Linked DNA regions of Nothobranchius furzeri. The protein of the gene in region 2 purifies or fractionates together with the protein of the main gene of each other region. This does not show direct contact. Links are inferred from orthologs where the notes say so. Each region holds a gene or a part of one and is shown on either strand. Other genes may lie near its edges.

Evidence for each region. Proteins that work in one complex are often made in the same cells at the same time.
Region 1: the proteins of ccnb1 (region 2) and foxm1 purify together in Homo sapiens (affinity purification with western blotting; 4 studies listed by BioGRID, with this or other methods). This does not show direct contact. The link is inferred for Nothobranchius furzeri from reciprocal best matches to the Homo sapiens genes CCNB1 and FOXM1.
Region 3: the proteins of ccnb1 (region 2) and cdkn1bb purify together in Homo sapiens (affinity purification with mass spectrometry; 5 studies listed by BioGRID and IntAct, with this or other methods). This does not show direct contact. The link is inferred for Nothobranchius furzeri from reciprocal best matches to the Homo sapiens genes CCNB1 and CDKN1B.

The regions. Positions count from the first base shown.
Region 1 is NC_091741.1:41,405,748-41,409,403, reverse strand, and holds the start of foxm1 (forkhead box protein M1), read left to right. Parts: upstream 1-723; 5' UTR 724-838; coding exon 839-852; intron 853-933; coding exon 934-1,415; intron 1,416-1,492; coding exon 1,493-1,635; intron 1,636-3,516; coding exon 3,517-3,656. UniProt on the Homo sapiens protein: Transcription factor regulating the expression of cell cycle genes essential for DNA replication and mitosis. Plays a role in the control of cell proliferation. Also plays a role in DNA break repair, participating in the DNA damage checkpoint response.
Region 2 is NC_091746.1:73,742,826-73,746,576, reverse strand, and holds the start of ccnb1 (G2/mitotic-specific cyclin-B1), read left to right. Parts: upstream 1-1,189; 5' UTR 1,190-1,301; coding exon 1,302-1,322; intron 1,323-1,544; coding exon 1,545-1,673; intron 1,674-2,191; coding exon 2,192-2,302; intron 2,303-2,385; coding exon 2,386-2,733; intron 2,734-2,822; coding exon 2,823-3,059; intron 3,060-3,129; coding exon 3,130-3,270; intron 3,271-3,751. UniProt on the Homo sapiens protein: Essential for the control of the cell cycle at the G2/M (mitosis) transition.
Region 3 is NC_091744.1:57,772,466-57,776,216, reverse strand, and holds cdkn1bb (cyclin dependent kinase inhibitor 1Bb), read right to left. Parts: upstream 2,821-3,751; 5' UTR 2,555-2,820; coding exon 2,128-2,554; intron 1,998-2,127; coding exon 1,882-1,997; 3' UTR 1,867-1,881; intron 947-1,866; 3' UTR 622-946; downstream 1-621. UniProt on the Homo sapiens protein: Important regulator of cell cycle progression. Inhibits the kinase activity of CDK2 bound to cyclin A, but has little inhibitory activity on CDK2 bound to SPDYA. Involved in G1 arrest. Potent inhibitor of cyclin E- and cyclin A-CDK2 complexes.

The DNA of each region.
Region 1 (3,656 bases), on a different chromosome or scaffold from region 2:
CCACAAAGTTAAAAACAAACAACAGTTAGTCAATTCATGAAATCATCTTTTGTTTCTACTTCCCGGGTTTCTTCTTTGTCGTCTTTTCTCCGACTTGCGCAGCCGCATGTGGGTGATTTAGCGCCCCCTAGAGTACTTCTTGTCCGTTGAGCTTCTTGTTCCCATTGGCCCGTTTTTACCACGTGATCAACATGAAGGGGGACACCACCCACAGCGCCAAAATTCAAAAACGGTTTCTGACTTGACACGTAAACAACCTGTAATAAAGGCTTGGTAGCTGTCACATATCTTTTATCAAAAATGTAATACGAGCGAAGTGCTCCACAACATCAGCGTTGGAGTTCAAACCAGCGGAGCCGTCTGAAACAAGAAATATGAAGGTCTGGCTTTATTTAGTAGCTTTGCTGTTAGCAATCAGAAGCTACCACCAGCAGCAGTGGTAGCATCGGGCTTTTAAGCTGAAAACCCATTTTCTTAGATGAGACATGGTGTTGTTAGGGCCCAATTTAAGCTTCAAACGTGTCATTGTGTCATAACCTGAAATACTATTTACAACGTATACAACGGTTAGCCATGTCATTGTGAATAAACGTTAAATTATACTTCCGGTGTGAATTTAACGCCTGAATTCTCCAGTTGCCAAGGAATAAAACCTCGGATAACCACTGAGCCGTAACACGGATACGTTAGTCGGAACTTTTTGTCTTAATAGCGTAACCCACAGCGTGTTTTAATATAACATGAATTAATCGTGTGCTTTAATATTAATAGATACGTAGACACGTAAAATAACAACTTAACTTTCCACCGGTGATTTGCGTTACAACGGTTTTCTGATATGATGCAAGCAAGGTAAAGAAAAAAAAATGTGTTCCTAAAATATTCTTTATTTTTTATTTTTATATATATATATTTTTTTTATTTTTCCCACAGCTTACCAGTGAATTTGGATGGACGTTTCAATGATTTGACCATGAGAAGGAGTCCGAGGAGACCCCTTATCCTGAAAAGAAGAAAACTACCTTTTCAGCAAAATGAAGCAGCTGACGCACGCTCTCCATCTGCTGCTTCAAGCTCCAAAGAATCCTCAAAACCAGCTGCCAGTCAGTGCCTCCTAGATGGTGTCCACATCATGGGTCATTCATCCATGTCTGACACTCAGGTGGTTTTCATCCCCAAAGACGTGGATCTTCAGGTTGTTATTGATGCCATTACTGCAAAAAGTAAAGAGTGTGGTGACCAGGGTCCAAGCAAGTTCATCCTTCTGAGTGAGAGTGGAAGCCGGGACAATGGATCTTCTTGTCAAGAATTTGCCAGAGAAGAATCTGTTCCTACGAGGAGTCCAGTTGGACAATCTGTAAGCTCGGAAGCCACATTCAACACTGAAGCTGATCATCAATCTGGCTGTAAATACGGTATGACAGTTTATGCTGTCTCTGATATCTCACCATCCCATATCATTGTCCATTTAAGCACTCTTCTCTTTCATCAGTGATTAAAGAAGCGAGTTGCAGCCCGTTAGACGACAGCCTCACAAACATCCAGTGGCTGGGCAAGATGGACTCCTGTGCCCTAGAGCCGGATTCTGAAGAACAGACGACAGACAAATCGATTCCAACATCCCAGAATTTACAGGTCAGTCTTGCTTCTTTTTGTGTGATGCAGATGGCCTACTGAGTTCTGACAGGACTCCCGAGTGTCCCCTAAAACCACAGACGAACTACTGACTGATTTACAGGCTTATTTGGTTGCTACAATTAGAATGGAGGTTAAATATGATTTTTTTAATTAGATAGTTGGATTTGAAATTAAATATTTTAGTATTTCTCAGTAAAAATTCATCACTCTGGGCTACAGTTGGAGCAGCTTCAGACCCATCTCTAAACTTCCGTTCATCTCCAAGATCTTGGAAAAGGTTGTGGCTAAACAACTCACAGCTGCTCTTGATGAACATAACATCTATGATAGCTTCCAGTCAGGTTTTCGTAGAGCTCATTCTACTGAAACAGCACTTCTTAGGGTCTCTAATGACCTTCTGACTCACAGCGATGCAGGGGACTGTTCTGTTCTGGTCCTGCTGGACCTGACTGCAGCCTTTGACACTGTTGACCATCACCTGCTACTGGAGAGGCTGAGAGACTGGGTAGGCCTATCAGGAACTGCTCTGGAGTGGTTCTCTTATCTCTCTGAGCGCTCCTTTTCTGTGGTCGTCTCCAAGTTTAGGTCCTCCACCACCTCCCTTACCCATGGTGTCCCACAAGGTTCTGTGCTGGGGCCTCTGCTCTTCCTCCTCTATCTGCTTCCTCTTCAGCACATCCTGAGCTCCTTCAAAGGAATCTCCTACCATCTTTATGCAGATGACATCCAACTGTACATCTCCTTTAAGCCCCATGAGATGTCTAAGCTGCAGCTGTTACACACCTGCTTAGACTCTATCAAACCTGGATGGCTGGGAGCTTTCTACAGCTGAATGAAGATAAGACTGAGATCCTCATCTGTGCCCCAGACAAGCTGGTTCCCAAAGTCAGAGACTCTCTTGGTCAGCTTACTTCTCACACCAAACCTTCCGTCAGGAATCTTGGCGTGACCTTTGACCCAGCTCTCACCCTGGATTCTCATGTCAGTTCTCTTGTTCGCTCTTCCTTCTTCCATCTCAGGAACATTGCTAAGCTGAGTCCCATTCTGTCCCGCTCTGAACTTGAGACTGTGCTCCACACCTTCATCTCCTCACGCTTAGACTACTGTAACTCTCTTTTCACGTGTCTGAGCAGAACCTCCCTGAACCGTCTACAGGTGGTTCAGAACGCCTGTGCTCGGCTTCTGACCAAGTCCTCCAAACACACCCACATCACCCCGCTTCTCCTCCAGCTTCACTGGCTGCCAGTCAACTTCAGGGTTCATTTCAAGATCCTGGTTCTGGTCTATAGGGCCTTACATGGACAAGCACCATCTTACATTGGTGATCTTCTTAGTCCCTACACCCCCAGCAGGTCCCTGAGGTCCAGTGATCAAAGCCTACTGGTTGTGCAGCACCAGGCTAAAGGTCAAAGGTGACAGATCATCTGCTGCTGTGGCCCCCAGACTCTGGACCTCTCTCCCCCTGAGCCTGAGATCAGTGGACTCAGGGGTCTCCTTTAAAAAGCAGCTGAAGACTCACCTGTTCAAGCTGGCTTTTGTATGACCTTCTTCACCTCTCTCTCTTTATTCTGCTCTCCTCACCTATTCCACCTTCCTCAGGATCCACTGATTTCCCTCTTTCCTGTTCACTCTCTCTCTTTCTTAACATTTTTTTAATCACAATTGTCTATTTTTGCTCATTTTAATATATTTTTAAACATCTTCTAAATGCTTTTTTCTATTTTTACATTTTTTGTTTTTGTGAAGCGCCTCGTGATTTTTATCTTGAGAGGCGCTGTAGAAATGATACTTTCTTCTTCTTCAGTTGGATAAAATATCCTCTATGATTGTTGCACATATAGATGATTCTCTTTGTGTTTTTTCTGTGACTATTTGCAGCCACATGGTCCATACGCCAGTGCAGAAGCTGTCCAGGGTACCGAAGCAGAGAGACCTCCATACTCCTACATGGCCATGATTCAGTTTGCCATCAACAGCAAGAAGGACAGGAGGATGACGCTGAAGGAAATCTATGCATG
Region 2 (3,751 bases):
GTCAACTGCACACTCATTTGGCAGAATAAAAGTTTGACAATTATTCATTTGTTCTTTATTGTCACATTTCAGTAACAGTTATAATTAAACAAGTTGTAATTCAACAAATTAAATAAATGACTACAACATTTCCCCCTGTTAAGTGCAGTAGACTGAAATGAATAGCTTTATTTGGAAATATAACATATCTAATTTTTAATGGACTTACATAAAATCTTTCTTCAACATAGACCCCACTAATTAACTGATTAAGTGTTATTTTTATAAAAAGAAGAGAGAAAATGCACAAAGGTAGGAAAGGAAAAGAAAGTGATGAAATAATAGGTTTTGTTAAATGTTCTTCATATAATGAATTAATTGACAAAGTTTTTGCAGGGTGTGACAAAAAACGTTCAAGGTCAAGCTCCTGGGGCTAAGCCCCCCCATATCTCAATCCTAGTGACGTCCATGGTGCAGCACATTCAGGCTCAGGAACTCACCTGTCATCGTCCAACGTTAATCACGACTCTCCATGTGGGTCCGCAGACATTTCTGTACATATTTCTGTAAAAGTTCACAAATACACGAGCAAGCTACAAGGTTTCTACTATTTTCACATAGAAGTCTATTTTGCGATTTTCTAAACACTCTCTAAACCATTAAGTGTGCAATATTCTACACATTTTTCTCAGTAAAATAAATTCATATGTTCACTTTTACGTTTGCTCATAAAACAAAAATATTTTATCGTGATTTTGTATTTCGAAATGTTTGTGCATTGTTTGAAAGCATCTTTTAGTCCCAAGTTTTACTATTTTATCAACAGCTGTGGTTTATTTCAGACATGAGAGGCACGAGCCAAACTGGAAGCACTGGTTTTCACTCCCCGAACAATCATTTACTTTTAAACAGCATGTGGTTTCAAAAACACCTACAAGTGAGTAGCAAATCTGAATAAACTAATTAAGAGGCTGATAAAAAGCTAATGAATGTGTATGGCGGTCTAATTATAAACTGACACATACTGATCTGTTATTTATATTTATATCGAGGTTTCACTGACTAACGAGCAGGAGAAAACAGAGAAAATAGCAAGACGCAACAGGAAAAGGAAATACGAGGATGTCACGTGATCGTACGTTGTCTAGGAAACGCATTCATTGCCTGCCTGATGGACCAATCAGATGCTCGGAGAAGTCAAAGCGCAGCGAATCAGCTTGCAGCGCACGAGGATTTAAACGAAGACAGCGAGTCTTTAGCTGAACTCGTTCGCTCGGCATTACGACTCTTTCACTGCTTGTCGGAACCACGCAGACTTGAAAATGGCTCTTCGAGTGACCAGAGTGAGTCTTTAGTCGGGTCTTACAGCTCTTTATCCGCGTAAACACGCCTAGAAACATGTCGAATGATTAGTATTAGCGTTTAAAATGCTTCCGTGCTTCGGTGTACCTCACCAGTTCAGGCACTGTCCTGCTGAGAGTTCAGAGTCAAACCTGAAGCGGATTTTGTGTTTATAGATGAACGACATGCAGCAGCGGCTAAAGGACTCTTTTGTTTCTCTGCAGACTCGGCTCGGTTCTACCAGAACCGAGCTCGGAGGAGGGAAGGCCTGCATGAACGGGCCCAAGCAGAAGCCTCGAGGCGCGCTTGGTGAGATCGGAAACGTCCCGCTGAACAAAGAGGTTCAGAAAAAGGTGAGAAGTTTTAAATACTCGAGTTTTTATGGTATTAATAATATTCACACGTGAGAACTTCATGCGTCTACTTTAGACTCGATGTGATGAAGTCATTTTCTTTTAAAGCGCTGCTAACATGTAGAGCACATGCTAGCAGACATGCTGCTGTTAACGTGCTATTTAAATAAAGTGGTGGACAGGTAAAGGTTTTTTTTAATCCCATAATAACACGTTCAAGTAGGGGGCGCTGCAGAGCCCCGGTGCCTGGAAGAAGCCATTTTCATGCACACATCCACCTAGAAGGTACTCTTGCATTGGACATGTCACCTTCTTAAAGCCCCGCCCTAGCCTTGGTGACTCACCTGGATGCAGCCTGGCTGCCTCACTAGGGATGCTTACTTTAAAGTGGGTAATCGGATCTGTTTAGCGTACCTGCGTAAACTTGTCAAGACTGTATAATCTTCAGTTTAACTCTAGTGAAGCACCAGGTGATTTAATTTCTCCATGGGGGCTTCAACGACCATATTTGGATTTAGAATGTCAAGATCGATGCTGCAAAGAAGCCTGAAGTTGTACCTAAAGCGGTAAAGGTGGAACAGCCCAAGCCTCCGGTCGTCATTGCTGCTGACCCTGAGCCTGAAGTTCAGGTGAGTCATCTGATTAGTTTAAATCCTGATTCGATCCATGCGCTGACGCACCTGTAAAACGTGTTGAACTTCCTCTGCTCCAGGTGCCGCCTGAACCCACCTCGCCCACTCCGATGGAGACGTCTAGCTGCAAACCCGCTGATCTCTGCCAGGCGTTTTCAGACGTCCTGCTCCACACCGCTGTCAGGGACGTGGATGCGGACGACTATGACAATCCCATGCTCTGCAGTGAATATGTGAAGGACATCTACAAGTATCTCCGTCAGCTGGAGGTTGAGCAGAACGTCAGGCCCACTTACCTACAGGGTCAGGAGGTTACCGGGAATATGAGGGCCATCCTCATCGACTGGCTGGTGCAAGTGAGCCTCAAGTTCCGTCTGCTGCAGGAGACCATGTACATGACCGTTGGAATAATCGATCGCTTTCTTCAGGTAATTCCCACGCTCGTCGTCGGTGGGTAGACGTATCCACGTGTAGAGATTAAAGGTGTTAAATGTGCACGTTCCTGCGTCTCCAACAGGACCATCCAGTCCCCAAGAAGCAGCTGCAGCTAGTGGGCGTGACCGCCATGTTCCTTGCCTCCAAATATGAGGAAATGTATCCTCCGGAGATCTCGGACTTTGCCTATGTGACGGACCGGGCCTACACCACTGCTCAGATCCGGGACATGGAGATGACCATTCTGAGAGAGCTGAAGTTTCAGCTTGGCCGACCACTTCCCCTGCAGTTCCTCAGAAGGGCCTCAAAGATCTATGAGGTTTGTGTCGAGGCTAAAGTCCAGCTGATCTTCAGTGACTTGTCTGCTGACTTCTGCCTTTGGTCCACAGGTAACGGCGGAGCAGCACACTCTAGCCAAATACGTCCTGGAGCTCACCATGATGGACTACGAGATGGTTCATTTCCCTCCTTCTATGGTGGCCAGTGCTGCTCTGGCGTTCACCTTGAAGGTCCTGGAAGCAGGCGAATGGGTTTGTATGCGATTTTTAAAATACTCCTGTGTTACTAAAATGGGTTCATCACAGGCTAATGGCTACTCCGACTGATGCAACGAACATTAAAGAGCAAGTCACCCCCAAATCAACTGTTTTTTCTGATAAACTATATAAATGCGTGTCTAATCGTGCTGCAGACGCATGTAGTCAACAGTTTTGCACTTTAGTGCATTTTAGTTAAAATTTCTGCCTAAAACTGTCAGTGTTGTGCCGTCGTCGGGTAAAAACTCTGCGCTGCATTTGAATTTAAATCTGCCACCGCTATTGGCTACCTAGAATGTTAGCTGGTACCATGAGATGTCACAATGTCGTGTGTGTGTGGCCCTCTCGGTCTGCTAGGTAACAGCATTAGTTGCATTTTTTTAAAACAGGAAGTGTGAGCGGAGTAATACCCTGGTAGGGGGTGACTTGCTCTTTAATATAACTATTTCCACCACTATCTGCTTAATGTAGTTTA
Region 3 (3,751 bases), on a different chromosome or scaffold from region 2:
AGAGGCTGGAAACTAAAAAACAAACCACGAGACTTTTTCCTTTTAGAAGATTAAGGTTTAGGGGCAGAAGGAAAGCAAAACGTTGATTCTTGTTCTTCAAAGCCGAGTACCTCACAGCTCAAAGGAAACACTCGAACATTAAAACGTAGCTGAGGCGCACAGAAAAACTTCAAAAAAATTGTTTCATAATATTCCAGGACTCTGATGCTAAAAGCACCTCGATTAAAAAATAAATATCAGAAAATCTTAACAGAATTTTTACATCTCCTCGTCGTTTAGACGAGTCCAGCCCTTTGCAGGGAGGCGCTGTAATAAATGAAAAAACAAATTAAATTACGATACGTGAGCTACATTTGTACCATTCTTCACTGCTGCATTAGGAAGCTGACGGAGTGAAGGAACACTACAGAAACGGTGAGAAGCCATGATTTTTTCTTTTTAAGTGTAGCAATTAAGGACAGTGGCAAATGTCACACAGTCTGGAAATAAAAATAAAAAACAGCATTTTGGAAACCATCACTGCAATTCTTCAAGTCAAATGAAAATTCACAACTTTTTACAAAAAGGATTGGATTTAGAATTAAGTTCCTTATGTGCTACACATGGAGACATATTTATACCTATATATATATATATCCATCTTTATTAATTTATTTACACACAGGTAGTAACAAAACGAGCAAAAAAGGGAAATAAAACCTAATTGCACACTGCTACATCGACTGCTGTTAGAGGCAGTAACTTATTTTTAATTGAGTGCCACAACTTTAGTGTTTCTATTCAGTGCTTCAACAGCGTCCTCCTCAGTCCTCAGAAGAGCCGATATGTTTCTGATGCTGCGCAGATCCTCATCCCCAAAAAGCCAACAAACAGTCAGGCCTCCAAAAAAATAAAATAAAAGATGCATATAAAAAACAACACCCTCGCAAAAAAAAAAATGCTCGAACTGTGTGGAGAAGGTGGGAAAAATAAGAAAAAAAAAAGGTTAGTATTAACATTTTTGAAAAATCATCTTTTAACAATTCATGGAAAAAGTTTCACTTTAATTATTTTTCATAACTAGACTGTTTATTTCAAGTGTGCACCCCCTATCAGTTTCCTATTTTTAAAAAGACTAACAAGGTTAAGCTAAACTGACCTGTTACACACACACACACACACACACACACACACACACTTATGAAACTAACAGCTATTTTGTCTTTTAGTGCAGTTCTTTCATCATATTTTATAATAAAATCTTTCAAGGATTTACTTTTGAACAGAAAAACATCCTCATATTGAATCACACCCGGTTATTGTTCAAATTTCTGTGCTAAAAAGAAACATTGATGTAAGTGTTCTCATCTGCAGCCTAAACAGGTCCTAAACCACTGTGAGGAAGATCTCATCGTGCCCATCCCTCCTCCCTTTACTTGAATTCGGACCTGCGGGTCTCCTCAGCACACTCCTCTGCCTGCAGGGACAGCGTGCGTGCGTGTGTGTGTGTGTGCGTGCGTGCGTGTGTGTGTTCAGAGACCAGCCCCTTCTCTGCTCTGCTCCGAGGGCAGTGGCTGCTGACGTGTTACTACTACACTGTTGTTCAGCCCTTGTTTACAGTTTAGTAGAAAAGCTGCAGCAGTGAGACGTTAAAGCCTTTTTCTCTCGGCAGAGTTGATCTCATTGTGATTAAATGAATATAAAATGTTGAAATGGTTACTAGAGTCCAGCATTTTACTTACTGAAGATAAAATAAGCGTGCAGCACCGTTAAAGCTACTCGATAATATGTGGAGAGAACGTGTTATATAACCTGCTGTGGCTCAGATCACAGCTGAGGAACAGAAGCTACATGCGGTTATTGTATACGGATGAGTTTAAGCCTCACCGTTTTCTCTCGGGCTCACGTCTGTCTCTTGGGACTGGGCTTTCTGGGTGTGTGTTCTACTGAGTGGCTCAGGTTCGGACAGCTAACCTCGTCTGGGCTGGTATGGGACCTCTTGTTTTGGGTCGGAGGCTCTGCGAACAGCAAAGAAATTCTGTCAGGGAAACTCGGAGCAAAAACACAAGAAGAGGGTTATAGATGTGCTTCCTGTCGGGTGAAAGCCGAGCTCCGGCTCTAAAACCTGATTAGATGCAAATGTAGTACCGTGACTAGCAGGTCTCTTCCTCAGCCCGGTGCACTCCGTTTGACCGTCGGGCTTGCTGGTATCCCCGCTCGACGCCACCAGGACGCAGTTATGGTTCCCGTTTAGATCCACACTGGTGCTCCTGGGGCAGACGCCCTTCTCCCTCCGCGGCTGCCGGTGGTAGAAGTCCGGCATCTCCTCGGAATCCACTAGTTCCCATTTGAACCTGCCGTTGCTCAGTGGCGTGTCACTGGCGAAGTCGAAGCCCCACTTGGCAGCGGCAGCCTCTTTGAACTCCCGCATGTGTTCGTTAAAATCCTTCTTTAACTCTTCGTGATCCACCGGGCCGAACAGACTTCTGCAGGCAGACGGCTTCGGGTGCTCCGACACCCGGGCCTCCGTCCGCTCCAACGTCGGACTCCCGTTTGAAACTCGAACATTAGACATTTCCCCTCCCCCCAATAAACACGCTATTTTCAGTCAGCCGGGAGCGTCCAGCTGTCATAAGAAAAACACGTCGCTGAAAAAAAAATACAAATAAAAAACAACAACAGCGGTATCTCCAGGTCACGGGGGAAAGATCCGACGCAGCTCTACACCTATGCCATGCATACGTCGAAGTGGAAGACGTTAACTGCTGCGGGGCTCTGGAGTCGAAGATGGTCTCCGAGAATCATCAAAACAAAGTGCACAGGAACTGAGGACGCTGTCAGTTTCGCTCCGCTCAGAGAGAAACTGCAGAGAAACCTCAGCACCCAATATGGCGATTGAGGAGCAGAGCAGTGGTGGGGACTGAGACGGGAGGGGGAGGGGCTTATGATTGACACACAGAGCTATTTAAACCCGGCAAAGGACGCTCATTGGTTAAGCGACACCTGGCCCCACCTACTTTATTTAAAGTGACAGTAGGCGTGTATGAGTGGGGAAGTCGGCTCATATTTTTCCATCACGTTTTACTAAAATAAATATTTATGTATGCTTCTTAAAAATAGAAAACGTATTTTTGTGTAAATGACTACATCACACAAGCTTTATAGTTACACATCTAAAAAAAATACTAAATTTACAGGTAATTTGCAAAGGAGTCAAAACCATTATTTTTCTAAACATCTTCAGTGTGCATTACTCTGTTTTTAATAGTTGATTTATTCTAAATATAAGTATTAACCAAATATTTACCAAATTTAAAAAAAAAATCCAGCATCATAAAGCAACACACGTATGCCAAAGACACACTACAACGGAGTGTAAAACAAAACTAATAAGCCAAGAACCTGCAGAAATCAAACCTGCCGTGGGTCGAGCATTGGTTTTTACATCGCAGCTGAAAAAATTCACAATTTCACATAAAAGTCAGCATGCACTCCCAAAAGAGAGAATTACATCATTATATATATATAATACAAATAATTTAAGGTAGTTTCTTTTTGTCAATGACTGCATGAAAACCTTTTTTCTCCTTTTGTTACTTTTTACACAAACTGACAGAAAATAAAACACCAGACGTAAGGCTGATTTTGGCCTCATGTTCCAAAATAAAAGTGCAGTGTTTAAACTGTTTTGTGAGAAATGATGCAATGTACTTTTACTGGAAAAAATGTTTACTTAAAAGGGTCACAGCAGGATAAGTGGTGCAGATGAGGC